2 linked regions of the Stegostoma tigrinum genome follow. The protein of the gene in region 1 interacts with the protein of each later gene in a pairwise test. Links are inferred from orthologs where the notes say so. Each region holds a gene or a part of one and is shown in the gene's direction. Other genes may lie near its edges. The genes, in order: dmd and ctnnal1.

Region 1 (15,695 bases):
GAGTGATACATATGGGTTTACCCCATCGATATAACTTAGGAAGCTATGCAGGGAATGCCCAGCTGTTAGTTTGGATCTCTAATGTTCCACTCTAATGGAAAACTCTCCTTGCGTATTCAAAATAGGATTGATGTAGAACTGCACAAATACATTGAATCTTCTACCTCTTTGTCTCAATGCCATGATGGTGAAATTCAAATAATCACTGGAAAGCAAAGCCAGGTGAGGTGTAAAACAGGCCAGATGATCTGCTACTACACATTTTCAATCTTTGCTGAAGTTGAATTTCTCAGCCTCATCCCCTACCCATATTTGTATCAGTTGGTATAACCCGTTCCATTACATTGTACAAATAAGGTGCCTTTTGTGCTGTGGTGTATCTTTATGGGCAATTTGCCAACTTCAGTTCAATACAGATAAAAAGTAACCTGAGAGAACAGAGAGGGTGAATTCAAAGCTACTTCTAAATAAAAGCATGCAAGGTCAATTTTTGATAGCCCTCACAATGTGAAGCTTACCAGAAAAAAAATACACAGTGAATGTTAGGAAATGTGTGACACATAATTTTCTAATCAGCATTTTAAGATTCTGCACAATGCCAGAACCTACGTGTAGAGGATATTACTCACCTTGCAAGCCTCTTTCATGTTACCCTCATTTTAAGGTGATGACTTTGAAAGTGCATTGCAACTCACAAAGCTGTCACTCATGACATGTACCTGAAAGCTTTCCCTACACCTTGCAGCGTACCTCACCGAAAAAACTAAAGAACAACAATTTATAATCATCGGGTGCGTATACTGTTTACTATCATAATTTTATTTGTACTGTGTGGCATTGATCCGAGCTTTGTGTTTCACTTTGCTCCATCTCACTGGCAGATATGGACACAAATTAAAAGTTTATAAGATTGCTACATTTTGGGATGCAGTCTTAAATTTGCCACAAAATGGAGAAATGGAAAGTGTCATACTACCTGTTGTAAATTTTACTGACAATAGGTCTGGGCGGTGCTTTGGTAAAGGGTGTCCAAGTTGTTTTACTGGGAAGAAGATACAAAATATTCATACATGAAAAGAATGACCTGAACAGCTGTTTTGATGGTGCATGGACACAGGTCTCTGGGTCCTAGCCAGGTGTCAGAAGAATGTTATGTTTTGGAAATGCTTATACTCTAAAATGTCCACTTATTTAGAATTTAGTATGGGGTTTGTGTGGCATAGTAGTTGTGTCCCTACCTCTGGACTGGGAGGCTCAAGTTCAAGTCCCATTTGGTCTAAAGGTGTGTGATGGCAACACTGAACAGATTGATTGAAAAAGGCATGTGGTTGGATGTAGTTGGAGTATTTCTCCTTGGACAGAAGGCTCATGTGATTCATTAAAATGGGCTTTGAATTAGGATACGTTCACAGGAAATCTGGTTTCGATCGCAGAGTTTTCCTGTATATCACTAAACATCACAGACATGGTCAAACTGCAAAATGTGTGTGTGTGTGTGTGTGTGTGAGAGAGAGAGAGAGACCACGCTCTAATGTTCACAATGCAGAAAGTGGCTGGGAGTTCATGCTCGGATTGCTAGAAGACACCATGTTTCTGAGAGATTAAAAAGGTTGGCAGATTATTTTTGCTTTAGCAAGAGAGGAGCATCTCCAATTCATACCTAAATGTGTAACTTAGTTCTGGTAGAGAAAGCTAGACTGGGGTGAAGAAAAATAAAGGAAGCAAGCTGTTAGGAGCTCACTAGCACTGTGAACCGGGGAGTATAGTGTCCATTTAATGCATGGAGTAAAATATAACCAATACTGGGAGATATTTGCTCATTGCAAAAATTAAACAGCAGATCTTTTCTGTAGTTTAAACTTTATGTTGCCAAATTAAATAGTGTTCATTCAATGCTGTTTCTAGTTTATGTGATACATTAAAAGTCTTAACTTAACTCATGACATATGATAGTTTCAGTCATCGAATGAACATTTGAGTTTCCTTTTAACTGTGATTAGTCTCCAATGGGATAACTTGTACGGGTTTATTCTGTATCTATGGAGTTGAGTAACCTTCAGTTTTAAACAGGAGTGAGAGTCATTTGCTGCAGCTTTACCCAATACTACTATTGTTTGGGAAACTGGCCTTTGTGTCTTGTGGCTAAGGTGGAACCTGGATTGAGAGGATAGTTAGAACTGGTAAAGTGGTGTCAGAAGGAATTAGATGCACCCTGAGAGACTGCACCATGCCTATTCCAGAAATGCTGCTGATTTAATGCTGCTAACTATAGCCTTGTATTTACATGTCCACATATTTTAAAGGCACACCTAACAAAGCAAAATGTTCATTAACCAACTTATCATTTCTACTACATCTAATAGAGAGCTGATTCTCTTACAATCTCATTGCTCCTGTGCTGCTTCACCCATCTACACCAGGGATCAGCTGAAGGCATCTGTTAAACTGCCCCAGGATTTCTTGCTCGATCATTCGTAACAGAATCTTCAACAATCGGAGAGCTGCTCCCTGGATATATTGCCTGAATCCTGCTTGCCTTGCTTCATTTCTACCATCTTCAAAAGTTTGTTTGAAATGTATGATCCAATTTTGCCAGAGTTCTCCTCTCCTTTTTCTTGTTCAATTCTTGTTAAGTTACCGAACGTCTTCCATCCTTCAAAATGCTTGAGCATGTTTTGTTTCCTACACAATATAAGTTTTTCAGTCTGGCAGCCTGTGACCAGCGGGCTGTAAGGCTAAGCTCTATGTTCACTGCCTTTCGCATTTATATAAATGACTTAGATGTGAACATAGGAGGTATGGTTAGTAAGTTTGAAGGTGACACCAAAATTGGTAGTGTAGTTGACAGCAGAGAAGGATACCTCATATAACAACAGCACCTTCATCAAATGGGGTGATGGGCTGAGGAATGGCAGATTGAGATCAATTTAGATCAATGTGAGGTGTTGCAATTTGGAGAGGCATATCACGACAGGACTTATACACTTAATGGTAAGGTGTGGGGACTGTTGATGAACAAAGAGACCTTGGAGTGCAAGTTCATAGTTCCTTGAAAGCAGAGTCGCAGGTAGGCAGGATAGTGAAGAAGGTGTTTCTTCCACTTGCCTTTATTGGTCAGCACATTAAATATAGGAGTTGGAAGATCATGTTGCAGCTGTACTGGGCATTGGTTAGGTGAGTTTTTGAATATTATGTGCAATTCCCATCTCTCTGCTATAGGATGTTGTGAAACTTGAAAGGGTTTAGAAAAACATTTACAAGAATGTTGCCGGTGTTGGAGGGTTTGAACTATGGGGAGAGGCTGAATAGGCTGGGACTATTTTCCCTGGAGTTTCGGAGGGTGAGGGGTGACCTTATAGAGATTTATAAAATCATGAGGGGCATCGATAGGGTGAACAGCCATGGTCTTTTCTACCAGCTAGGGAAGTCCATAACTAGGAAGCATAGGTTTAAGTGTAAGAGGGGAAAGATTTAAAAGGGACTTAAGTTACAGCTTTTTCATGCATAAGGTTGTAGGCATGTGGCAGACTAAGTGGTGGAGGCTGGTCCAATTGCAACTTTTAAGAAGCATCTGGACAGGTACATGAATAAGAAGGGTTTAGAAGGATATGGGCCAAATGCTGGGAAATGGGACTAAATTAATTGAGGATATTTGGTTGGCATGGACAGATTGGACTGAAGGGTCTGTTTCTATGCTGTACAGCTCTATGACTGTAAGTGATAATTTGCCCTTCTGATTCAGTTGACAAGTCTGTAAATGAGATTACACTTGAGTTAGGATTTAAGCAGCAGAGGTTAGATAAACAACAATTAATGAAGGATGAAGATGGGAGTTCTGCCAGGACTGCTTTGAGATAGCCAATTCTATGATAATATAGGCCTGGATTAAGATTTCAACAACAGCTGAGCTGAGGAAGGAGCAAAATACAATGTGTTTTAGCGATGATGCAGATATGTAACTAAAAGTTCATCTTGGGTTCAAAAGTGACACCAAAGTCGAGATCAGACAGGTTCAACATCTGATGGCTGCCAGGGAAATAGATGAAGTTGTTCGCAAGAGAATATATTTTCTGGCAGCAGATAGGGACAATGGCCTTTACAGTACATACTAAACATACAGAATAGGAGCTGTTCATCCACTCTAGTCTGATCCATCATTCAACAGTTTATAGCTCATGCATTTCTGTTTCAAATTCAACACTCCCATCTAATCTAGATTACCCTTGATTCCATGTCCCATATATATTAGGTAAAAACTTTCTACTTCTTTGGTACTAGATGATAGGCAAGCAGTTTAACAATATAAACACAGCTGAAGGTTCATGGGATATGTTGGAGGGTTGGAGCTGGATGTCATCAGCATAATCTGACCTTGTGCATTGCTTTGAGAATCACCAGGGCATTAAATTTTAATGGTACTGAATATTCCAGGCCACACAGGGGATACTGGAGAATGGGATAGAAGGTATGTTTGGAAGGATGTCACCTTTTTCACTCTTTAGCTTCCCTGTGCAAAAGACGTGTCGACTGTGAAAGGCACAGAACCTGCCACAAGATTCCTTCTCTAGTGAACCATGTCATCTGTTTCCCTGGCAACCATTAGAGGTTGAACCTGTCTGATCTTAACTGCAGTGTCACTTTTGAGCTCAAGATGAACTTACGGTTATGAATCTGCTCCATTGCTGAAATTCCTTCTATTGTATCATTTTACTCTGCTTCTTCCTCAGCTCAGCTGCTGTTGAAATCTTCATCCAGGCCTATGTTACCATAGACTTGACTAGACATTACAAAGCATTCCAGGCCAACCTCCTGTCTTCACTCTCCATAAACTAGAGTTTATATAGACCTCTGCTGCTTAAGTCCTAACTAAAGTATCCAACTTACAGTCATAGAGTCATACAGCACAGAAACAGACCCTTTGGTCCAGCCTGTCCATGCTGACTATAATGTCAAACTAAACTATCCCATCTTTCTGCACTCAGCCCATATCCCTCCAAACATTTCTTATTCATGTACTTATCGAAATATCTTTTAAATGTTGTAACTGTACCTGCATCCACCACTTCCTTTGGAAGTTCATTTCATACACAAACCACTCCCTGTGTAAAAAATTGCTCCTTGCGTTAATGTTAATGTTATCTAAGAAGGCATTGAGTCTCATAACATTAACTCTACAAGATCAGAAAAATTTATTTTCAGTTAAGGAGAAACAAAGTGCTAGAAATGTATTGGTGAAATTCATGTAACTTTTTTTTCCCAAAACTTACCTCCTTGGTTCCTCATAGTAATTCTAATAGGTGTCTTTTCTATATTCTCCCACAATTGGAGGATATGTATACTGAACCCATTTGTTTCGCTTCTTAATTTCTATTGGGAAAGTGAAACAATACAGGTAAATGGCAGGAATGAAATTTCTGTTCTGTTGTCTGAAGGAATATTCCTTTCAATATTCTGTGCTGGAGAATGTCTATTAACTACACAAGAAAAGAAAGTGAAAGCCATGTAAAAATTTGAGAGTTTCCTTTGGGACCTCTGCTTGCTTCAATTCAATGATCGGTGCTTTACCACAATTGTTATCTGAATGCCCCTCATAATAGGATCTATAATGTGCTTGAATTGTGGTCAAATGTGTGATATAACCTCTGCTAAAATGTTTGAGTCCTATTTGATGGCATGTTACACAGATTCACTTCGGGAAACTGAAAAGTAAAAGCAAAGAAAGAGCTGTATTGCATTCTATTCTACTTGCAACAATTGCATACCTCTGCATGAGAACAGAAATCAGGACAATAATGAGATTAAGGGGGTAATTCTGAGAGATTGTCCCTCCTCAAAATTCTTCCTCTCTTTTCCTAATTAAATCCAGCCTGAAAATTTACAAGAACGTCCTCAGATCTAGAAAAGTAGCAAACATTCCATTCAATCTCATTAAACAACCCTGATGCAGAAATAGGCATGAGTCTAGAAGTTCAAGAAATAGGCAGATTCCTTTACTTCTTTTATTCTTAAAGAGATGAGGGCATCGCTGACCAGGCAGTATTTATTGCTCATCCTGAATTGCCCAGAGGGCAATTTAGAGTCAACCAGATTAGCCAAACTACAGCTGTTGTATATATTCATGCAATGTAAATATACAAGATGGCTAGGGGATAAGACAAGGTCAATACAGAAAGGTTGATTCCCCGTGTTGAAAGAGTTTAGGATGAGAAAGAACTGTCTCAAATTAAGGGACTGCATATAAAAGAGAAGGATGAGGAATTTCTTTTCTCAGTAGGTACTGAATCTGTGGAATTCTTCACCACAGATGGCTGTTGAGAATGTGTCACTAAGTCTGAGACAGACAGAATTTCAAACAGTGAGGGGATCAAAGCAAAATGAAATTAAGGATTATCAAATCAGCCATAATCCTGTTGAATGGCAGAACAGATTCGATGGGCTGAATGGCCTACTTCTGTTTCTACATCTTTTGGTAATGCAAGATATGTTTAGTTTTAGAGGCAGTGAACTTTGTCAACAACTAAACATCATAAGCATGTGTGCAACCAAATGCCTATATTGGAATAACGTCTACTCCTTATCATGTGATAAATATATTCACATTCAACTGAAACAAAGCAATGGGTGATACAAAATTAGGAGGTATTGTTGATAGCGAGGAAGGTCATCAAAAATTACAGAGGGATCTTGATCATTTCGGAAAGTTGGCTGAGGACTGGCAAATGCAATTCAATAAATATAATTGTGAGGTTATTGCACTTTGGAACGCCAAACCAACGTAAGCACTGGAAAAGGTGCAGAGGAGATTTACCAGGATGTTGCCTGGTCTGGAGCGAAGGCCTTAGGAAGAAAGGCTGAGGGAGTTGGGTCTGTTCTCACTGGAGAGAAGGAGACTAAGAGGGGATTTAATAGAGACATACAAGATGATCAGAGGATTAGACAGGGTGGACAGTGAGAGTCTTTTTCCAAAGACGATGACATCAGCTTGTATGAGGGGGCATAGCTACAAATTGAGGGGTGATAGATATAAGACAGATGTCAGAGGCAGTTTCTTTATTCAGAGAGTGGTAAGGGCATGGAACCCTGGCTGCTAATGTAGTTAACTCAGCCACATTGGGGGCATTTAAACAGTCCTTGGATAAGCAGATGGATGATGATGGGATAGCGTAGGTGGATGGGTTTAGATTAGTTCATAGGTCGGCACAACATCGAGGGCCGAAGGGCCTGTTTTGTGCTGTATCGTTCCATGTCCTATGTTCTAAGACTGACACAGTAAATGGTAAGGTCCTGAGGAGTGTGGCAGAACAGAGGGACCTAGGAGTACAAGTATATAGCTCGTCAAAAGCAGCATCACAGATAGACAGGATGGGGAAGAAGGCATTTATCATGCTGGCCTTTATCGGTTGAGGCATTGAGCACAGGGGTTGGGGCATTATGTTACAGTTGTATTAGTTGTCAGTGAAGCTACATGTGGAGTATTGCGTACAGTTTTGGTCACCCTGTTATAAGAAAGATTTAGTTAAACTGGAAAGTGTGCAAAGAAGATTTACGAGGATGTTGCCACGACTATTAGGCTTGAGTTATAGGAAAAGCTTGTCCAGGAGAAGACTTTATTCCTTGGAGTGTGGGAGAATGAGGGGTAACCTTACTGAGGTGTATAAAATCATGAGAGGCATAGATAGGATGAATGCTTATTATCTTCTTCCCAGGGATGAGGAATTGAAAATTAGAGGGCACAGGATTAAGGTGAGAGGGGAAAGATTTAAGAAGGGCCTGAGGGGCAACTTCTTCATGCAGAGTGGTGCATATATGGAATGGGCTGCCTGAGACAGTGGCTGAGGCAGGTACAATAGCAACATTTTGAACCATTTGAATAGGTACGTGGATTGGAAAGGTTTAGAGGGATACGGACAAAATGCAGGCAATTGGAACTAGCTGAGTGGGCACTATGGTCAGCATGGACCAGTTAGGGCCAAAGGGTCTGTTTCTATGTTACATTACTCCATGACTCTATGACTCTGTAACTGCTGCATTCCAGCAACTTAGTTAATAACTATTCTTTTATATCATGGTTTGAAAAGCAAGCTGTCTTATGCAAACCCTTGGTGCTTGCCATCTCTGCTTCTTTGCTTGACCTGCTGCTCTTATCAATGTTCTCCCAATTGCTGGGGACAGAATCACTAATGATGGGATAGCAGATATGAGGGCTGAATAACAGGCCAGAATTCGAGCAACAGAGAATCCTCTTGAGGCTTGTAGCAGATTGGGGACCAGAATGAGAATTTCAAAGTTAACGGATCTGAAACTAGGAATTCAGCAAATAAAAGAGCAAAATTGAAAGGTGACCTAATAGAAGTTGATAAAATAATGAGAGATATAGACAGAGTTGTTGGGGAACTTTAAGAAGGGAGGGCATGTTTTTAAATTGAGAGGAGCGAGATTTAAAAAGGACATGAGGCAAATTATTTAGACAGAGGCTGGTTCGCCTGTGGAATGAGTTTCCTGGATGCAGGTACAATTACAACGTTTAAAAGATATTTGGATGGATATGTGAACAGGAAAGGTTTGGAGGGACATCAGCCAGGAGCAGGCAGGTGAGACTAGTTTAGTTTGGGATTATGGTTAGCATGGACTGGTTGGACTGAAGGGTTTGTTCCCATGCTGTACGTCTTTGTGATTCTGTAACTTAAATCGTTGCTTTAATATAATTGTCATTTAAAATTACTTCTAAGGAGGTTTAGTTTCTTTAAAAACAAATCCAGAAGTTGCTGGAAAAGCTGAGCAAGTCTGGCAGCATCTGTGGAGAGAGATCAGAATTAACGTTTCGGATCCGGTGACCCTTCCACAGCACAGCACCTCTGTGTTCGTTTCTGATTTGCAGCATTCGCCGTTCTTTCGGCTTTTTGGTTTCTTTAAAGTTTGATGTAACCCCACTTCTAGCTTGCTGCTATTAGATTGTCATTTGTGTTACCGACTATTGCTCCAACTTTTCCAAGGGTTTTGTCAATTAATGTCTGACGAAGGAAATAAAGTGATTGCGAGGGGAAGACACTTGTAGCGGCGATGGCGTTGGCGGAGGGAGTGGGGAACGGCACTGTCCCTTTAAAGACCGACAGAGAGCCTGTCAGTGTCAGGAGAGCAATCCGACTGTAGCCTTTCCTGATTTATGGGGGTGTCAGGTTTCCCCGGCTGATTCTGTACACGGGCTGGGCCGCTTCCCCACATTATTGATATATATGGAGTGGATTTATTTGGGGAGGGGTGGGAGAGGGACAGAGAGGCTCACCTGTTGATGTGTATCTGTTAGAAGTTGTGACAGCCCTGATCTGTGCCTGAGGAGGAGCTGCCCCGTCTTGAACTGCCCTGCAACACAGCGCTAGCTCTGCCGGAGTTGGAGACTGGCTTGAAAGCCAGCGGCGCTGGAGATCTCGCTGCCCGCAGCTTCCGACAGAGCACAGGCTGAGGCTCCAACATCGACCGATGGCAGAAGCTGGGCGTCCCGAGAGTGCGAGAGACGATTCGGCTGGAGACGAGTTTAACGAGATCATCAAAACTCGAACGGGTAAGTGGAGAGAGGACGGGCTGGAGAGGACGGTGCCCCGTACTGATCCCAGCTGAGGTTTGGCAAACTGAGAGTAGACCTCCAACTTTCAGAGGCTGTAAGGCTCTGGCGCCGGAGGTTTGGAAAGACCATTGCTCGTGTTTGTGTGTGTGTGTGTGTGTGTGTGTGTGTGTTTGGCTGAGCAGCTGCAGAGTAGAGTTGGCACCGGGAATGATGAAGCCCACCGAGTTAGACCCTGTTGGGGCTGCCCTCCTCTGAGATGGGCAGAGACCGCTCACTCACAGCGGGAGCTCTCACCGAGAATGGTTACAGCTGGAGTCGGGCTTAGGTGACAGAGTGAGGGTAACATGACAGGACCTAGAGAAGATAAAACAACAACTTTCCCGCTAGGTCAACATTTTGGACATAAAATAATGTGTGTGAGTGTGTGTGTGTGTCTGTGTGTTCGGTAGGACCGTGTATGTATTCCCAGTGATGTCCATAGGGAGAACACTGAGGAAATATTCATAAAGTGATTGTCGGGGTGGGATACAATGCGGGGGTTGAACTGCGGTAGTGTCTCTTTAAATACCGCAATGACAGCCTGTCAGAGTCCAAAGGACTGAAGAAGGGTCTAGGACCGAAACGTCAGCTTTCCTGCTCCTGAGATGCTGCTTGGCCTGCTGTGTTCATCCAGCTCTACACCTTGTTACTTCAGAGTCCAAAGGACATAGGCGCCAGTGGGTAGTATGTTGCTGCTGTTGCTCCTCCCATTGTAACAGAAGGGCAGTCCCCGGAACCTGCTTCTTCTCTGGTGTCGGATGGAGAGATGGACCAATCCGGGGGACTAAGGCCGCCTTAAAGTAAAGCAACGAAGTCGGCAACACGAGCTTGTGTGAGAAAGGAAACCTGCAGTGTACAGATTCTTCCCTCAAATAATGCAGTGGAAGGTTGAGGTTTGCTGGCCATGAATGATAGCAAAGGCCGTGTGAGACACACTTGGTGGCTTCTCATCCTCCCAGGGGCGTCCAGTTGAAAGTCTGGATACTGTGGGTTCCGAACTGGTGATAGAAACCCTTTGGAGAACTCTGTGCTGTGCAGGAAGTGAGATATGGGTTGCCTAACTGACAGTTATTAACTGTCGATCACCCTCAAATTCCAGCATATCCAATAAATCTGGTCGGTTGAAATCAACTGAGTACTTGGTTGTAAACTCCTTATTACATTGCAGCTCGTTTGCGGTCCAGTGTTGCATTTCTGGATTAAAAAGAGGGCCAACAGTTTGCTTACTTTAAAAGTTTCCCTTGCAGCCACATGTTCAGTTACTTTGCATGTTTTATCCAGTTATTCGCAACTTCATCCCGAGTGGGTTTCAGGGAGCTCGGTCATAAAATGCATGTACAAATTTGACAACTCAAGCAGCTAATGGCGCTAAGCCCCACGCCTTGGCGTATACCGAATTTGCTGTGTAACTGGGTTCTCAAAGAGAAAAGCACTTGGAGTGTTGGGAAACCCTTTGGGGAATAGATCATTATCCCGCGGAATGAAGCGCTGTTGAAGGAAAACCACAGCCACAGGGCTGTGTTGGAATTTGGCAATGCCGCTTCTGTTGACGTGTGCAGCCCAGTGCCAGTTACTGGGAAAATCTCGGGGAAACAACAGTCTCAACTTTGAGCAGGGAAAGGTCATGTTTTATTTTGATGTTAGAAGTTATGCTAGGGACAGCTCGGTGGAGACAGCCACCTGCTCTTCGGGAATTGAGAGAGTTGTGCAAACTATTTTAGGCCGTCACCAATTAAAAACTGGTTTTACATTTCATTCAGGAGTCCAATGTGATCGTTATTTTGTGGGATACAGGAATATCTATGCGCAAAAACACAGCTCAGAAGTATCCCGAACACATTTAAAGGAAAACCACACTGGAGAAGAGCCACAAAGACTTAACCTGGCATTAAGCTTGGAAAATCTAGTTCATTGATTTGGATGGTTTTTAATTCCTTCTCACCAACCAAAAGGTTACCAAAATATAAGAAAGAAAGTCTCTCCAGGTTAAATGGCAGTAGGTTTTGGTTGGGGGTGGATTCCTAGCTCAAAGCTAAATTAGAATTTAAGCACAGTGATACAAAATGGTAAAGTTGTTCTGCTTTAGTAACTAAAAGGAAATGAAAATCATCAAATTCTAATCTCTTCGCATGTACACATCTTTGGACTATCAGTCCCATATTGACAACAACAGTAAAGCCTGGGGCTCAGATATTCCTTGCTTTGAGATAGCAGGTGGATGGTTAGAAAGTTATTTGGAATAAAAGTTCAACTTAAGTAAAACACAGATTCTATAGTGATGAGTCAGTTGTAAAATTACACATAAAATCTCTTTAGATTAAGTGGACTGCTCAAGAACTGTTTATTTATTTGAAATATATTTCTGATGCAATTAAATCAGTTTACTTAGAAGGAGAGTTTGAAGAGAGATATAAAATCATTGAAGCAACTCCATTGGATCAGTCAATTTTATTTGATATTTAGCAATTCTATAATAATAAGCAAATATTGACTGTCATGTACAAAAATAAGACTGTTCCCCTGGTGGTAATGACGCTTTCATGATGCTATTATTGTGATCAGTATAATTTTTTGTAATCAGAGAGAATGTTTATCTTGAGCTGCAGGCATATTATCAAAACTGACTGGCAGTAGGGTGAAAGACTTTTATTTCATTATTGTCTCCCAATGCATTGATGGTGAAATTGAAATGCTTTGGCAGAAGTAATAACATATTCCATATCAGAATAATGTCACTTTGGTATTATTGTGCTGAAAGTTTCAATAACTTAATTTTCAACAAACAATGCAACTCAGAAATATTTACAAATTAAAGTTAAGCGAAGTATTATTTGTTATATTCTACAGCACAGCACTCCGTCCATAGTAGACATTTGTGCATGTCTCTGGAGTGAAATTTGAAACACAGCCTTCTGACTCAGATATGAGAATGTTACCACATTTACCATGGCTGAGAACACAGTGACTCAATAGGGTGTCACAGAAAATTTGACCAGTCAAATCCATGTGTGCTGACAAGTGGTTGTCAGATTCTGCCTGAATTTTCTTTCTTTTTGCTTTTGAACTACACAATACAACACATATTGTGGAAGAAAAATACAATTCAAAAATATTTACAAATACAAGTTCGAGAAAGTTTCAGTGTAATAATGCTAGATATAAAATGATTCCAATATGGAATGCGCTATGATTGCTGCCAAAGCATTTCAATTTCAACATCGATACATTGGAACCAACAATAATTAAATGCATGCTTTTAACTCAGTCATGTTGCTCAAAGTTACACGTTTCTATCATATACACAATAGTGTGATATTATTAATATGATATATTTGTCACATCACCGGTAAGTACGAAGAGACAGATATATTTTTGTCATGCCCTTCAGTGTTAACTACTTGAGACATACTTTTTATTTAATGACGATCATTATAAAACTAACTTCCTTGGTTCTATGTAACATATCCATTTATTAAAGGTATTCTAGTTACAGGGAGGGGAGTGGGGTGGAGGGGGCAAGCATTTTGTTTAAAATATATCTCTTTGCTGTTAAGCCAGGATTAATCACATAAGTATGTTCTAGCTGCACAATGTGAATCCTTATTTTGATTTTATTAATGCCACTGCAGATTTGCAAATTCAGGTCAAATAATTTTGGCTGTGAGTTCAGTGTTGCACTGCTTTAATACTCATTTGAACTACAAAGGTGAGATTGTCTGCCTTTGAACTCCATTAGTGTGCATTTGCTTTATCATTGACCTAGCTACTGCTGTTTGCAGCAGCAATATCCTGAGTGCCAAAGTGTACATCTGGGTACTATAACTGGTGAACCAAATGCATTCCTCCCACATAACGCAGTTGAAATGTAACTGCCAAGGAGTAAAATTTTGTCTCAAATTCAGTTATTTGCTTTTTAGGCTTCTATTGGACAGAGGGCCCTGCAAAGGTTAAAAAAACTTTGCTTTGCATTGTTTTAAATCCAAGGCTTGCTTTGGAAACATAACTATTGAATTTTTGTTCTCACAAGACAAAAATTGACTGAATCAAATTGAACTTATTCATAATCACCTCGATCTTAAAAATCCTCAAAGCATTGATTGTGACACTTGATAGGCTGCAATGTTAAATAGTCATTCATGAATCATGAGGGTTTCCTTGCCCTAGGCAATAATGCTTTCATCCTGTTTCACACAAAATGTTAATTTAATACAATTAGATATAAAGGCACCATAAAGTTTATATGTATTTATTAAATTAAAGTGAATTCTGCATTCTTCTTCAAATCATTTTCTTGAATAATTTTATCACTTACTTGGTTGCATCTTCTTTCAGTTGTAGTGGCAGACTTGCCAAAAAAATCTGCCTCATCACCAAGATGCTACCTGGGATTATGGTAAGACAGTAGGTGGCAGATCACGTAGTTTGAGTGCATTCACCCAGCCAACACGTTCAATGACTGTCCTTACATTTTCTATATTTCAGCGCATGCATTTTCAATTGAGAGAACATCTGATTCTGTAGTCATCGTAGTTGTGCATTAGTCATGTAATCGACAGACATTTTACATGTCATGTTAGCAGTACAGCATATGGAATAACTTCCTGGGTGCATCTGAGTTTAATCACTCAGACTGCTATTGTTCATATTTCTGAAGTATCAGAGAACCCTTTATCTGTGTCCCAGACCTAACTGATTTCATATTTTCCATATGTGAGATTAGAAACAAAATTCAAACATACACTTAGCAAAGAAAAACACTGTCAATACTGGAAATCTGAAGCACAGTAAAAACAGACAACACTGGAAATATTTTAGCAGCTCAGGCAGCATATTTGGAGATAGTTAACATTTCAATCACCTTTCACCAGAATTTGGAAACGTTGGAAAAATCCTACAGATATTAAGCAGGTGAAGAGGTTGGGCTCACAACAAGAAAAAGAATGTGAAACATTAACTTTGGGCTGGTGGCGAATGAGCTGTTGGTGGTATAAGTAGTGTTGGATCAGAGTGCAGTTTGGGAAGAAACGTTAACTAGTTTGCACCAGATTAAAGTCCCATTTTGCAGTGCAGCTGTGTTGTTGTATAAGGTCACTCTAGTTATGTTCCAATTCACTGAATTCCACATCTTTAATACATTACAGTGTGAAGTCACAAAGCGGAAAATGTTGTGTTATGTATCAGAGCTAATATATCAATTGTAATTTTAAGAGACATTCTTATGAAATCACTACTAACCGGCATTTTAGGAGCAGAAAAGGTGACATTTCAGGTCTAGATCCTTCATCAGAAATGGGGGAAGGGAAGAGGGCTCTGAAATAAATAGGGAGAGGGGGGAGGCGGAGTAGAGTTGGAAAGAGGAGAAGATAGGTGGAGAGGAGACAGACAGGTCAAAGAGGCTGTGATGGAGCCAGTGTAGGTGAGTGTAGGTAGGGAGGTAGGGAGGTAGGGAGGAGATAGGTTAGTCCAGGAAGGACGGATAGGTCAAGGGGGTGGGGGAAGAGGTTAGTAGGTAGGAAAAAGGGTAGGAAATGAGGGTGTGGCTATATATGCACTATCCGGCATTTGCAGTGTTTTGCTTTTGTTTAGAGAACAGGTTGGACCTTTCTTCCCTGGAGCTTCAGAGCTGAGGGCTGACATTATAGAGGTTTATAAAATCTTGAGAGGCACGGATGGGGTAAATAGCCAAGTGTTTTTCCCAGGATGGATTAGTTCCAATTTCGAGGCCATAGGTTCAAGTTGAGAGGAGGAAGATTTAAAAGGGACCTAAGGAGTAACGTTTTCACACAGAGGGTTGTGTATGTATGGAACAAGTTGCCAGAGGAAGTGGTGCAGGTAGATGCAATTGCATTATTTGAAGGCATCTGGAGGGGCATTTGAATAGGAAGGGCATGGTGAGATATGGGCTAGATGCTGGAAATTGGGACTAGTTCAGATTGGGAAGACTGGTTGGTGAGGACAAGTTGGACTAAAGGTTCTGTTTTCATGCTGTGTGACTGTATGTAACCAGATGGTACAAAATTCTCAGTCTCCATCTTACTGGAGCCTCTTGCAGCATGACACACTGAGAGATGCATGCAACAGGTTAAAACCGAAT
Region 2 (15,915 bases), on another chromosome or scaffold:
AACAGGACAGAATTTGTGATTTTAACATGGATAATTGCAGTTTTAGCTCAGGTGTTGAAACTGGAAAGAATTGAGTCAAACATGGAGTCATGGGAAAGAGGGTTATGTCATTAATATGAATAATAAAAAGTTAGGACACCAGAACTAAACTTGCTCATAATCACACATTATATCTTGTCAACCAGAAAGCAATTTATGCTGCCTATTTCCTAGCTGATCTTCTACCCAGTAAACTATGTTACAAAAACAAAGTTGCTGGAAAAGCTCAGCAGGTCTGGCAGCATCCGTGGAGGAGAAAACAGAGTTAATGTGTCGGGTCCGGTGATCCTTCCTCAGAACTGAGGGATGTTGTTACCCCCTACACCATGAGCTTTTATTTTCCTCAATGTTCTTTGAAGTGACATTTTATTAAATACCTTCTAAAAATCTAAGTACAATACATCTACTAGTTCCTCTTTATCTCCAGCACATATTACTGTCTCAAAAACTTCAATAATTTGGTAAAACATGGCTTCCCTTTCACCAAACAAGGTTGACTCTACCAGATTACCTCAAACTTCTCTAAGTGCCCTGCTATAACTTCTTTAATCATAGGTTTTTAATATCATCTCTAAGACAGAATGTAAATCTCACTGAATGTAGTTTTCTGCTTTTTCTCATTCTCCCTCTTTTTGAATAAAGTAGTTACATTCACTATTTTCCAACCAAATTTAAATTTGCACAGTTTGGAAAATTAAAACTAATGTCACAGCCGTGTCTTTAGACAAAAATGGTGATTCAATTTCTGCATTGGCTGAGGTTACCATGAAGGAGGCTTCAACTCAACCTCTCCCCTTACCTGAGGTGTGGCGGCCCTGGGTTAAACCAGCACTAGTGGTGGTATCATTGATAGCAAGGAAAGTTATCAAGAATTACAGGAGGACCTTGGTCAGATGGGGAATTGGAGTGAGGATTTGCAAATGCAATTTAATACAGATGAGTGTGAGGAGTTGCACTGAGGAGTCAAACCGAGGTAGGACTTATACAGTAAATGGTAAGGTCCTGAGGAATGTTATGGAACAGAGTGATCTAGGAGTACAAGTACATAGTTCATTGAAATCAGCATCACAGGTGGACAGGGTGGTGAAGAAGGCATTTAGCATGCTGGCCTCCATTGGTTGAAGCATGGAGTATGGGAGTTGGGACATTATGTTACAACTGTGTAAGTCATTTCTGAGGCTGCAATTGGAGTATTGTGTACAATTTTGGTCACACAAATTTGGACTGGAAAGTGTGCAAAGATGATTTATGAGGATTTTGCCAGGAATAGTATGCCTGAGTTGTATGGAGAAGTTGGCCAGGGTAGGACTTTATTCATTGGAATGTAGGAGAATGAGAGATGACTATATTGAGGTATATAAAATCATGAGCGGCATATATAGGATGAATACACATTGTATTTTTCCTATGGATGGGAGTTGAAAACTACAGGGAATAGGTTTAAGGTGAGAGGGGAAAGATTTAAGAAGGATCTGAGGGGCAACTTCTTCATGCAGAGAGTGGTGCTCATGTGGAATGGCTGCCAGAGCAAGTGGTTGAGGCAGATACAATAACAACATTTAAAAAAAAGATTTGGATAGGTACATGGATGGGAAGGTTCTGGAGGGGTATGGACCAAATGCGGGCAATTGGAACTAGCTGAGTGGGCACCTTGATCAGCATGGACCAGTTTGGGCTGAAGGACTTGTTTCCATGCTGTATTACTTTTTGACTCTAGTCAACTCTCTGTAAGAGAGAGCAACCCTGTGGTCCTGTAGGACTATGACAACTTTATCCTCAACTTTTCATTATACAGAAAATATTATAAATGAGTTGGTCCATTTGAATAACATCACAAGTATAGTATTATAATTTAGTTATTCTACCTGTGGCATGTTGTTTTACTGTTGATCAAAATGTGAGGAACTGGAGGTAACAAGGGAAAAATGCGTTCTCACTTTTACCTAGAATTTATATGTGGAATATATATGTGGTTGCTGGAAAACATTGTCACTTTAGAAAACATGTGCTTAGTTATTAATTTCACTCATTGGTAACTACCCATTCACTAGAGTGATGCTTAAAGTGAACTCTGTCCATGCCATTGATGCACACACATTCTGCTTGTTTACTTACAGCTGCTACTTAACTGCCAGGTCATCTTTTCATCTGCTGTGGTTTCTCCCTTTGACATCCTCATGTCTTCTTTCCAAATTTTTAATCCCACTTTGTACTGACACCACAAATATTCTGAAAACCACAAGTTTCTTTTTAGTTATAATTCTGTGTTACTGTGGCACTGCACACTAAACAGCTGGAGTACTTCAGACTGTTTAGAAAAGGCTAAATTGTATACTGCACTGAACAGTTAAAAGATTTACTTTTAACTTCCAAAAAAATGCATTCCTGAAGCAGCTTCTACAATACAAAATTCTTCAAAATATTTATAAGTGACAAACGCTGAATGGGAAGTAGCTGTGAAGTTGGGGAAGGTCGCCAAATTTATAACTGATCTTTTAGAGACAGCAAGAGCTGCAGATGCTGGAGTCAGAGATAACACAGTGTGGAGCTGGAGGAACACAGCTGGTCAGGCAGCATCAGAGGAGCAGGAAGGCTGATGTTGCGGGTCAGGTTGTTTTCTTTATAACAGAGTGAGGGCTTAGAGAGGATGACAGGCGATTGAAGGGTCAATAACGAGGGGACATAATTTTAAGATAAAAGACAGAAGGTTTAGAGGGGAGTAAAAGAAAACATTTATTCACCCAGAGAGTAGTGGGAACCTGGAATGGACTTACTGGTAGTTGAGGCAGGAAACCTCACAACCTTTAAAAAGTACTTGAATGAGTATTTAGAATCATAGAATCATACAGCACAGATGAAGTCCTTTGGCCTATCAAGTCTGTACTGACAAACATACACCACTTCTTACACTAATCACACAAGGCCCACAGCCTTGAATGTTATGATACTTAAGGTGCTCATCTCAGCACTTTTTCAAAACATTGTGACGTTTTCCTCCTTGACTACCCTCCCAAGTTGTGCATTCCAGACCCTGCCACCCCCTGACTGATAAAGGTTTTCCCCCAGTTCTTCCTAAACCTCCTGCTTTTCATTTGAAATTTGTGTCCCCTTTCTATTGACCCTTTGAATAAGGGGAGAAGCCAATTTCTATCCATTTTGGTCATGCCCCTCATAATCTCATAGACCTCTATCAATCTTCATTGCTATACTCTCAGTTACATGCATGATCACCTCCTCAAAAAAATTCTGCCAGATTTGTTGGACATGATCTCTCTCTGACAAAGCCATGCTGACTGTCTACGGTCAAATCTTATGTCTCTATATGGATATTAATTTTGTCCTACAGTATTTTCTCCAAGATTTTCCACTGATAGTAGATCCATTACCTATAGTTCTCTTACCTATCTCCACTTCCTTCCTGTAAAGTTAAATTGCATTAGCTATCCTCCAGTCCTCTGGCATCTCCCCAGTGGTAGAGATGGTTTTACAATTTGGGCCAGGGTTCCTTTAATTTTCCCCCTTGTATCCCAGGCTGCTCTGGGAGACAACTGGGATATAACTCCCATAGACCACTTTTAACACCGCTGAAATCTCCAATAGCTCATCGATTCTGATATCAATCTGCTCAATAACTTCATAGTCCATCTTTGAAAATTCTGTACTTGCATTTTCCATCATCTGAGTAAAGAGAAATGTGAAGAACTCATTTAACATGCTACCAATGCCCTCCAGCTCCACACGCGGTTTGACCCTTGGTCCCTAAAGGACCCTACTCATTCCCTGGTTATCTTCTTTCCCATGATATATTTGTAGAATATCTTGGGAGTCTCCCTAATCTTGTCTGCCAACATTTTGTCCTGCCCTTTCATTGCTCTCATAAATTCACCCTGCATTTTCCATACTTCGACACCAGTGGATCTCCTATAGCGTTAAAGTAGTTTTTGTTAGTGCAGACGCAATGGGCCAAAAGGCCTCTTTGACGATATGATTCTGCTGTCAGTTAGCATCTTCTGGGCCTGCTCAGTCTGGATGAATGACCTTTATTGTCACTGTCTAGACTATAAAGAGCAGGACATCCAGGTCACACAGTTGTGCCTTCTACTATCAAAGTCCAATATTTGAGATGTCTTCCCTGAGGCTCTCTGTTTATCTTGCTCATTTTCTTCCTTTAGGACACTCTTTGAAAACTAGCTCTTTGACTAAGCTTTTGGTTTTCTGCCCTCATTCTTCTTTATGTTGCTCAGTGTCAAATGTATGATGGTCCTGTGAAATGCTTTTGAACATTTAAATATGTTTACAGTCAATGGAACTTTGAACATAGGGCTTACGAGCCAGAGTAAGCAATTCAATCATTTGGATGATCTAGCTGTGTTCTCAACTTCACCTTTCTATCTTCCCCCATCACCCGAAAACATCTAACCTAATTAATTTCCCTTTGAATAAATTTGATGACTGAGCCTTCACCACTTTCTGGGGAAGAGAATTCCAAAGATCAATGACCCTTTGAAAGACTAACATTTCTCCTCATCTTGGTCTTATTTTTAAACTGACTCCCCTAATTCTAGTTTCCCCACAAGTTTAAGTGTAATCCTTCTGGTATTCAGTCTATCAATTCCCCCAGGATGTTTTGTGTTTCAGAAGATCACCTCTTATTCATCCAAACTCCAATGGAGATGATCACAACTTGTCCAACTGTTCTTCCTAAGATTAATTTTCTTCCAAAAATGAGACAAATGATCCTTCTTGGAATTGCTTCTAACGGCACTCTATGGCTAAAAGTTGCTCATACTTATTCCCATTTGACATGTAGCATTTGATTTTGAGCACAACAATGATCTGGCCTCAGCAACAGCATCCAATAACGTCACATGCATTCCCTTGTCAACACAAATTTGGGTGGTAATCTAACTGAAAGTATTTGACATCCTAAAAACATTAATTTTTTTTCACTCATTCACAGGATGAGGGAATCCCTGGCCAGGCCAGCACTTATTGCCCATCCCTAATTATCCAGAGGGCAGCCAAGAAATAATCACTGCTGTGGATCTGGAATCACATGTAGGCCAGACCAGGTAAGGATGGCAGTTTCCTTCCCTAAAGGACATTAGTGAATCAGATGGGTTTTTCTGACAATTAATTCATGCTCAACATTAGACACTTAATTTCGATATTTATTGAGTCCAAATTCCACCATCTGCCGAGTCCCCAGAACATTACTGGGCCTTTATATAAACAGTCCACCAATAATACCACCAGGCCATTTCCCGCTGAGATAATGCAGAGGTAAGTGCCAAGGAATAATATTGTCTGTTGAAGGAATTCAGACAAGGAGCAACATTTGTAGATTCATTACAGAGCGGTCATGTTAGTAAACCTCTGATCCAGAGAAACAGAGTGACAATCCAGAAATACAAGTTAAAATGCCATCATGGCTAGAGAATTTAAATTCAATTAAATAATTGCTTGTATCAATAATGGGGACCATAAACCTACAAGAGCGTTATAAAAATGTATTTGTTCATGAGTGTCATTAAAAGAAGAAAAGAAAAAAAGAAGAAAATCTGCCACCTTTTTCCTGTCTGGTCTATTTATGGCTTCAGACACACAGCAAAAGCAGTGACTATGGACTGGCCTTTAAAATGGCTTCATAAACCATCCAGTAACATTCAAGAAGATGGTTTGCCGTTATGTCCCCACCAAAACTATTGTCAGACTTGACAGTGACATAGGCATTTTATGGATAAAACTGAAAGTAAATGATGCAAGAGTGATCGCAAAGTCTAGTTGAAAATGTGGAATTCTTATGCTCAAAATAGCCACAGAAGTAAGTGTAATCAGATCAATTTTGAATTGTAATTAACTGCATTAATACTGAGATTAACAGATTTTCATTAGGCAAGGGTATCAAGGGACGTAGATCAAATTTTATAAATAAAAATGAGATATAAATTAACTGCAACCTACTGGAATGTTTGAAGAATCTAGAGGTGCGGAATGGCATATTTGTGTTGCTGTTATAGTAGTGAGTGCTGAATCTATTTTAAAAAATGGCTCTCTTTTGGCAATGGCAAAGTAATATGGATGCTGGAAATCTAAAATCACAGAAAATTCCAGAAATATTGGACACATTTGACAGCATCTGTGAAGATTGGGGTACACAATTAACATTTCAGGTCTGTGATCTTCCAATGAAACCTCCCTTCTGCTTCATCTTAGTCATTCTCACACTTCATGGAATAGTTTCTTTTGGTGCTTTTTCAAAAAAATGTGCAGCACTGTTCTCCACACTTTCACCTTTGTTCAACTTATTTTCTAGTTTCCAGACCACCTTCTCAGACTGAATAATGCTTTTGTTAGTTTGCTATTACTCTCAAATTTGATCACTTAGAATTGAATCCGGGTCTCGGCCCGAAACGTCAGCTTTTGTGCTCCTAAGATGCTGCTTGGCCTGCTGTGTTCATCCAGCTCTACACTTTGTTATCTGGGATCTGTGAGTGTATTGGTTAAATTATTCCAAGAAGACAGACATAAACATCACTTCTGTACTATATTTTGCAGTGATATCAAAATTTTCAAATACTTATGACTGGGTACAACAACCATAATTTAAAATATAACAGAAATTGCTGGAGAAACTCAGCAGATCTGGTGGCATCTGTGGAGAGAAAGCAAAGTTCAGTTCTGTTGAAGAGTCACTGGTGTCTCCAAGCGTTGGCCCTGCTTTCTAGAACATAGAACAATACAGCACAGAACAGGCCCTTTGGCCCTCAATGTTGTGCCGACCTGTGAACTAATCTAAGCCCCTCCCCCTACACTATCCCATCATTATCCATATGCTTATCCAAGGACTGTTTAAATGCCCCTAAAGTGGCTGAGTTAACTACATTGGCAGGCAGGGCGTTCCATGCCCTTACCACTCTCTGAGTAAGGAACCTGCCTCTGACATCTGTCTTAAATCTGTCACCCCTCAATTTGTAGCTGTGCCCCTTGTACAAGCTGAAGTCATCATTCTCGGAAAAAGACTCTCACTGTCCACCCTATCTAATCCTCTGATCATCTTGTCTCTCCATAGCTTGCCGAGCTTTTCCAGCAATTTCTGTTATTGCTTAAGATTTCGAGCTTCCGCAATTCATTTAAACCAGTATCTTTTAAACCAATGCTCCCACCACAGTTCTGAGCCTTGTTGGCCGACAAAGTCTTGTAGTTATAGAACATAGAACAGTACAGCATAGAACAGGCCCTTCAGCCCACAATGTTGTGCCGACCATTGATCCTCATGTATGCACCCCCAATTTCTGTGACCACATGCATGTCCAGCAGTCTCTTAAATGTCCCCAATGACCTTGCTTCCACAACTGCTGCTGGCAACGCATTCCATGCTCTCACAACTCTCTGTGTAAAGAACCCGCCTCTGACATCCCCTCTATACTTTCCTCCAACCAGCTTAAAACTATGACCCCTCGTGCTAGCCATTTCTGCCCTGGGAAATAGTCTCTGGCTATCAACTCTATCTATGCCTCTCATTATCTTGCATACCTCAATTAGGTCCCCTCTCCTCCTCCTTTTCTCCAATGAAAAGAGACCAAGCTCAGTCAACCTCTCTTCATAAGATAAGCCCTCCAGTCCAGGCAGCAGCCTGGTAAACCTCCTCTGAACCCTCTCCAAAGCATCCACATCTTTCCTATAATAGGGCGAACAGAACTGGACGCAGTATTCCAAGTGCGGTCTAACCAAAGTTTTATAGAGCTGCAACAAGATCTCACGACTCTTAAACTCAATCCCCCTGTTAATGAAAGCCAAAACACAATATGCTTTCTAAACAACCCTGTCCACTTGTGTGGCCATTTTAAGGGATCTATGTATCTGCACACCAAGATCCCTCTGTTTCTCCACACTGCCAAGAATCCTATCCTTAATCCTGTACTCAGCTTTCAAAGTCAACCTTCCAAAATGCATCACCTCGCGTTTATCCACGTTGAACTCCATCTGCCACCTCTCAGCCCATCTCTGCATCCTGTCAATGTCCCACTGCAGCCTACAACAGCCCTCTATACTGTCAACGACACCTCCGACCTTTGTGTCGTCTGCAAACTTGCTGACCCATCCTTCAATCCCCTCATCCAAATCATTAATAAAAATTACAAACAGTAGAGGCCCAAGGTCAGAGCCCTGTGGAACCCCACTCACCACTGACTTCCAGGCAGAATGTTTTCCTTCTACTACCACTCGCTGCCTTCTGTTGGCCAGCCAATTCTGTATGCAGACAGCTAAATTCCCCTGTATCCCATCCCTCCTGACCTTCTGAATGAGCCTACCATGGGGAACCTTATCAAATGCCTGTTTCCCGTCAGGGAGCAAAAGGATAAGATTATCACTGCAAATCTTCAAAATTTAACAAGACCAGATCCCGTTTATGTGGGATTGAAGTACAGTAAAACATACTTCAAGAAAAAAAGACAAATGGCAAAGTGGTTAGACCAACCTGAGCACAGACAGTGAGGGCAGCTGTGTTGCTAAACACGTCTGCAAATCAAAAATACAAACGGAAACAGATTTAAGCTAAAACCACCTCCACCAAAAAAAGATTGAGTTTTTTTTGCAGTTACCTATCTTTGGCAAGAAGTGTAAGGGAAATTGGTTTCCGATTGATTTTGCGAGTAACCTTTCTCAGGAACCCAGCAGCAGAGTGCAGTAACCAGCCTGAGGCTGCATGTTTTGTGAATATGACCCCGGAGTTGGTGTTAAAGTTGAGAAGAAGGGTGCGGGGCATGGCTCTGGAGCGATGCTGTGTGCCTGGGGCTGCTAGGGTCACCAGCAGTGGCCGCCGCCGCTGCTTCCCTTCCTCTGAGCACCACACTGCAGCTCGCCAATGAACTCAATGGCATTTGCTGTTTTGAAACCACGTTTTAACGAGAAAACCGTATGTACCACAGTCAGAGCACCAATGAAAACTCAAATCCCAACACTGTTACCTCCCCCATCCCCTCTCAACACTTTCCAGAGCTCCTCCTACAGCCGGAAAGAGACGCAACTCCCTCTCTCCCGCCTCTCAGTCACTCGGAGAGGGAGAGGGAGAGAACGAGATCGGCTCTGCATCTGCAGCCGTACCAGCGGACTCAGCGGTATCATGGCTTCTTCCCACTGCAACACCGATCCCGGACTGGAGATCAAAACCAGGTCGGTGGAGCAGACCCTCATCCCCCTGGTGACTCAGGTATGTGTGCTGGAAAAGGGAGGGCGAGAGAAGCGCTGGACTGAGTGAGTGAGAGGCAGGGGGATCTCAGGGCAACGCAGAATGAAAGCTAGGCAGGAGACCCCTCCGGGTAAATGAGCAGATTCCGGGTCGCCACATAGGGGTAGGGGAGCAGGGGCATCTCTCCGACACCCCCTTCAAGTAAAAAGAGAGGGACTTCTGACCCCCAGCCCCCTCCACCGAAGGTATATCAATGAGATTGTAAAAGATCTGAGACTCCCCGAAAGCATGCGGAGAGACCCACATTAAACGAACTGAGTGGCTCCCAGAGCTACGTGAATATAGAAGTCCTGGGACCCTCAGAAGCATGGGTGATGTATAAAATTAATCCCTTGGCATCTTCAACGGTTGGGATTTTAGTGTTTTCAGGTGGGTATAACTACTCAACAAACTCATTCCCGCACTGTTAGGAGAGGTGATGGATTAAAGTGCCCTGTGCTGGCAGCCCCCTTTTCCCATTGTACCGTGCTCAAAGCTAACGTGCAGCTCTGTTAAAGACCTCCACTCCATGTAGCAGGAGAGGATGGAGTGGTTATTTTATCCGGAGGGAACCGTTCTGACAGCACATTGCAGCCGGTGAGAGGCCACACGCGAATGTACTGCCGCCCCACAGGGACATGTAGACATACAGGAAAAAGTACAGAGGCATGCAGTTCACAGAATGGAGCCAGTGTTTTACTGGAAAGTTCAAACTCAGTAGCTTTCGGAGAGAGCAACACTGACTTTCACCGGAGAACAGGGACGTATTGTTTCCCGTTTAACTTCCAAACCGAACACAACTTCGTCATGACAAATAATGCAACGTCCACAAATGTGTATTGGGAACTTGCTGAATGTCCACTCGTGATCCGCTGATGGTTTTTCGCTCACATCACTCTGTTAAATCAACCAGCACAACTCTGCAAGGCTGAGCTTTATCGAGCTCTGGCCACTTTTCTACCGGCAGATGCTTTAAATTGAAGCATGTGCTCATAATGTTTGTTTTGCAGTTTAAGCTTTTTATGACACCTTTGTCTTAGTTGTCCTTTTCACCAGCAAATCGCATAATCCCGCTGTTATGTGTATATAATTAGGCAAAGAAAGAGAACTTGGGTTATTGAAAGAAACCTCTTAAGATCACCAAATTTTCTCCTATATATCAGATTAAACCATATGCTTTGATAGATTTTTGAATTCTGATTTAATTTGTTCTTGTAAGATTAATTTTATTGATGTTGTTTAAATCGTTGAAAATGCAGTTCAATAGATGTTCTGAGCAACACATGAGAAAGTGGACCAAGCAAAATGGATTCATGACATTTTCCATGAATGTGAACATTGTACTACAGTATTGTCTAAACATCACATTTGCAATGGATGTAAATATTCATTTCCTGTCACAAATTAAGCTTTCTGAAAAATGCTACTGCTAAGCTAATGGCTTTCAGTGTTATTGATGTACACATATTACAGTGACTTCAGGCACAATGGAACATGGACATTTGAAAGTTGCTACTGGGGTGCTGTTGCTGCACTGTTCATCTCATTATCTGGCTCATCATTGAACTGTGTCAGATAGCACAAAATTCTCACTCTCCTGTAGATTTTAGAATCAACTAAGCAGAGAAAGTTGTCTTGACCATTTTAGCCTCCGTACCTACTTATGATGTGTTAACCATGATCAATCAACTTCTCTAGCAATGAAAATGGGCTATTTCAAGTGTGAGTTTCATTCATTCAGATTTTCCTTGTTGAAGAAAATGTAAAACTTAAAACAGCTTGCACTGTTCCTTTTTTGTGTTCCTACCTCTGTCCATTTTTACTTCTCTTTTTATAAGTTTTACATTTTCTTCAACAATGAAAATTTCTTCTACTGCACCCAATATGAATTTCCCCATTCTAACCTGTACGTGCTTCTCAGTCTTTGCACTGTGAATTTCATAATCTTCCATTCTGACTGGGTAATATGATGTGCAGCTGCTTACAGTTTGAGCCAGGTCCCAGATACTCTGCTGAAGTATTGTCAGATCATACTTCCAGTAACTGGCTATGCACATTTTTAAAAACTCACATGTTTAAGAACAAAATTCATGTTTGGCAGTTACTTTATATGTGCTGTGGTACAGCAAATTCTGGTTTGTTGGGACAGAAAATGCCTGCAAAAGATGCACAAATAATTTTTTAAAATTTGAGTTAAATTTCAGTGGAATATGAATATTTGGCAATTTCTATGAAAGTTTCTGACTTACTATTTTCTTGTACATTGAAGGAACATTTATGTCAGAATTGAAAGGGAAGAGTAGAGAGGTCATTGAGAAAAAGCAGATATTTAGAACTTAGAGTTTATATTGTGTTGTGGCGTTGAGAGCTTGGCCTTTTGAGGAGCTTCAATTCTTTTCCTTTGGTCCATTGCTTAAATGCAATTTTATTTCAGCCAATACGACCATTGGTAGAAAGCAATTGCCCCTGTGCTCAATCACTCAAGTTTGCACTGAGTACTCTTTGTATTGTACTATTGAAATGTGATTATAAAATGTATGTTTGAACAAGCAGCATTTATAGTTGTAACATGAAAACACACTCATTTTTCTCGTTATTAAAAATGGGTGTCTGCATTTATTTTCCACATAATTACAGAACTTGACTTGAGTCTTCCATCACATAGCCCTTGGTCCATCCTGAAGACTTATTAATGCTAGTACCTGGAGCAATACTGAGATGATATACAGTACTTTGAGTGCTACTAAAATTTGTAGCTACTGCAGGATATCTTGCTGCGTTTTAAGATGTACAATGAGACATGATGATGAGATTTGTGTTGTGATGTACTCATTATGCCTTAGTGTTGAAAATGACAAACAGATGCCAATGTTGCCTAGAAACATTGAATATTGCCATGATGGTTCTTCGTGCATCAACACTGCTAGCAATTCCTGAAGTGTACTTGGTGACAATTTTTACATTTGATTATCAGTTTGACAGGATTATTTTCAAAGGGCTTTCATTCAAACAGCAACAAGACTATGTGCTTCAATATGGATTGGTAGCACAAGACTTTACAGATGCCTGCATTCATACATTGCGCATTATTGCTGTTTGATTCCACTCCCCTCTAACTTATTTTTGAAAGTTACTTTGGAATCAGTTTCAAATCAGGAATTTCAAATGTGTTAAAAATAACTCTCTGGCTTTTCTTCCCGCTTCAATGCATATCCAAGAGTATTTACACATACCTAGAGGACACAAAAATCAAAATTCTGAAAGTGTTACTCAAATTGAGTGCAATAGGCTGGTCAGTCACAGTGTTGAATACTGATCTAATACAATTTAAATTTAAATCTACACTTATTCCAGAATAAAGTCCTTGATATAAACTGTTACGCTCGAGAGAGTACTCTACATATACACATTAATCTTGGGGGAATGAGGATTGGGTTGTGCTGCGTGTTGTTATGATCTGGAATTCATAACCTGAAAAGGTGGCAAAAGCACACACAGTAGCTGTAACTTTCAAAAGATAATTAGCTGTATATTCTGACAAAATTTCCAAGACTATCACAGAAAAGCAAAGGGATAGAATAACCGGATAGCACTTTGAAAAGTACCAGCATAGACAGCTTTGGGTCAAAATTGCTACCTTCTTTGCTCAGTAATGTGGCTCACTATTATTATATTGTGCTTAAATGTGTTGAGGTTGGTTGGCTGGCTGAGCTGGTTTGTTGTTCTGCAGATGTTTCTTTACCATGCTTGGTACCATCCTCAGTGCAGCCGCTGTTGAAGTGTCGGTGTGTTTTCCTGCCTGGTTTGCAAATTCTGGGGTCCGTTGCGATGGATTGCCTCACTTCCGGGTTTCCTCCATGGTGGAATGTATATGAGGCCGAGTTCAATGTGTTTAGTAGTTAAATAATCCATTATTTTGCTGAGTTTTCCAATTGAGTTAAAGTTATAGCAATTCTTATTTCTTTTGTTTGTATTTTAAATGAGGGTAAGAATGTAGAGTTTTTTTTAATTCGAGTAGTGTAACCAATCCAATTACATCTGGAATACAGCACCTTAGACTTGCCTTTTAAACAAGATAAAAGTTGGGGTCTAGGCTATCTCCTTGATATATTTAAAGCGGTTTGGTCTGGTCCATAATTGCACCGAAAGTTAGACCAGGTCTGAGTGGCCGAATAATTTCTTCTTACTATTTCTTGTGGAAACTCTGGGGACTAGACCCAGTGTACTCAATCTCTCATCATGGGCCAATCCTGTCATTGAAGATTTCACAAGATTTATTCCAATGTACTTCCCCCAGCAAATGTCTCCATCCTGGATATCAAAACCAGAGCTGTATATGGTACTCAGGAATGCTCTCAAAATATAATTGTAGCAAGACTATTTTACTCCCTCATGCTAATCCCTTTGTACTAAAGGTCAACATGTCATGAATCTTCCTAATTGTCTTGTGCATCTGCTACCAACTTTCTGCATTTCCGCTGTGAGTGCTGCTAAATCTCACTGAACATTGACATTTAAAAAATGTCTATTCTGCCAAACTGATTAAGCTCATCTTTCTCCAGATTTAGTATTGTTGCATCAAGTTTAATTGGAGAATTGTGACTGAATTGATGGTTGTCCATGGAGCTAAGATTAGCCTGGTACTAAACAAGTTTTGCATTTATGACTAGCTGATGGTAACAGTGACAAAAGATTACTGCAGCAGCTCCCTTTTGTTTAGTATCAGTCCCAGATTTCCATAGTAGAAAGCTACATGAACAATTCTTCAATCTGTGGAGCTCTTTATCAGGTAATATCACTTTACTGGAACAACACCTTGCAGGTAGAATAAATGCAGTAACTGAAACATGAAGTGTACTGTGAAAATATACAGTGTGACCGTATTCACCCTGTACAGTTCCATGCATAACCACTGGAGTCAATTTTAATTCATCTGCAATTCTACATTTGTTTCTGTTTGCACCCCTATTTCTTAAGTAGAAAAATGTGTTGGTTCCAACCATAGCAACCCTAAAACTGCAGTTGCTTATTGAGAAGATTATACTCAGACCCGTCAAGGTTTAATAATATTTACTTGATTGCTTTTTGTGGCCTGGATCTTCTGTTCTTTGGATAGTCAAGGGTTGAATTTGGCTTGAAAGATATGCATCTGGGCTACTTGAGTGACCTGATGCACTGATGATGCAGTAATTGTCCAGGATATGTAAACTTCCAAAGGATAGAGGATATTTTAAACCATCTGACAAAGTTCACAACTTCCAGCTAGAGGCAGAGATTTTGGAATATTCTGAACTACGAACCTTAATAGTTAGCCATGAAATGTTAGAGCACATTTTAACTCTTAATTTGTATTAGACTTGCTGATAATTCCTTACTTAAGCTACATATATCTCCTTTATGGACTATAAACTGAAAAACAGAAGTTGGACATTACAAAAAACTCTCCTTTCAGCTATTTGGCAATGAATGTCATGTAGGATTGTTGGTGTCCCCTTTAGCTATGCAAGGTTTGTGATGTAGTGAGATGTGTACTTTGAGACTGTCTCAGAGTTAAGGAAAACAGCTTGATGACAGGTTTCAGGCTTTTCCAGCCGCGCTTTTGTCACAGGCCTGAGAGTGCAATGTAAGCTCGCAAACATTGAAAGTTTTCTGTCCCTTCACTCCCTATATGGAAAATGACCAAAAACCTGGAAACTGTTAAAAGGAAAGAATTCCACAAAAGGGCTAGGTCCACCTGATTGACCAATGCTGTGCGGCTGGATGATGTCATCACTGCTAAGAATCAAAAGAACTTTGAGAAATAACATATCCCATCTTTGTGGTCTGGATTTGATGTACGGAAAGTATTTTTATTTTGTTTATGTTTTTCTACCGTGTAATGTTTGTGTCTAATAGTCTATTTTTGTTTGTTTTTATTTGTGAATGAATATATATGCTTGGGGATTTCAGTCGCAGTTTAAGTCACATCATAGTAACTTGGTAATTTTTCCTCATTTTGTTAAACAGTAATTTTGATTTATAACTAGTTACTTTCCTGTTAATGAAACCTGATGTCATCGAGTCATACAGCTGCCGTATACAAACAGACACTTCGGTCCAAATTGTCCTTTCCAACCAGGTATCCTAAATAAATCTAGTCCCAGCTGCCAGCATTTGGCTCATATCCGTCTAAACCTTTCCGATTCACATACCCATCCAGATACCTTTTAAATGTTACAATTGTACAGTCTCCACCACTTCCTCTGGCAGCACATTCCATACTTGCACCACCCTCTGTGAAAACGTTGCACTGAAGGTCCCTTTTAAACCTTTCCCTTCTCACCTTAAACCTATGCCCTCTAGTTTTAGACTCCCCCACCCCAGGGAAAAGGTGTTGGCTATTTACCCTATCCATGCCCCTCCATAATGTTATAAGCCTCTACAAGGTCACCCCTCAGCCTCTGACACTCCAGGGAAAATAGCCCCAGCCTATTCAGCCTCTCCCTAGAGCTCAAACCCTCCAACGCTGGCAATATTCTTGTAAATCTCTTCTGACCCCATTCAAGTTCCACAGCATTCTTCCCGTAGCAGGGACACCAGAATTGCACACTGTACTCCAGGAGTGGCTTAACCAATGTCCTATACTGCGATTACATGATCACCCA

Evidence for each region.
Region 2: the proteins of dmd (region 1) and ctnnal1 interact in binary tests that used the Homo sapiens proteins (3 or more experiments, as listed by UniProt). The two-hybrid records come from large-scale screens. The link is inferred for Stegostoma tigrinum from reciprocal best matches to the Homo sapiens genes DMD and CTNNAL1.

Annotation. Positions count from the first base shown.
Region 1 is NC_081365.1:58,608,518-58,624,212, reverse strand, and holds the start of dmd (dystrophin), read left to right. Parts: upstream 1-9,323; 5' UTR 9,324-9,477; coding exon 9,478-9,559; intron 9,560-15,695. UniProt on the Homo sapiens protein: Anchors the extracellular matrix to the cytoskeleton via F-actin. Ligand for dystroglycan.
Region 2 is NC_081355.1:106,360,352-106,376,266, forward strand, and holds the start of ctnnal1 (alpha-catulin), read left to right. Parts: upstream 1-9,062; 5' UTR 9,063-9,166; coding exon 9,167-9,253; intron 9,254-15,915. UniProt on the Homo sapiens protein: May modulate the Rho pathway signaling by providing a scaffold for the Lbc Rho guanine nucleotide exchange factor (ARHGEF1).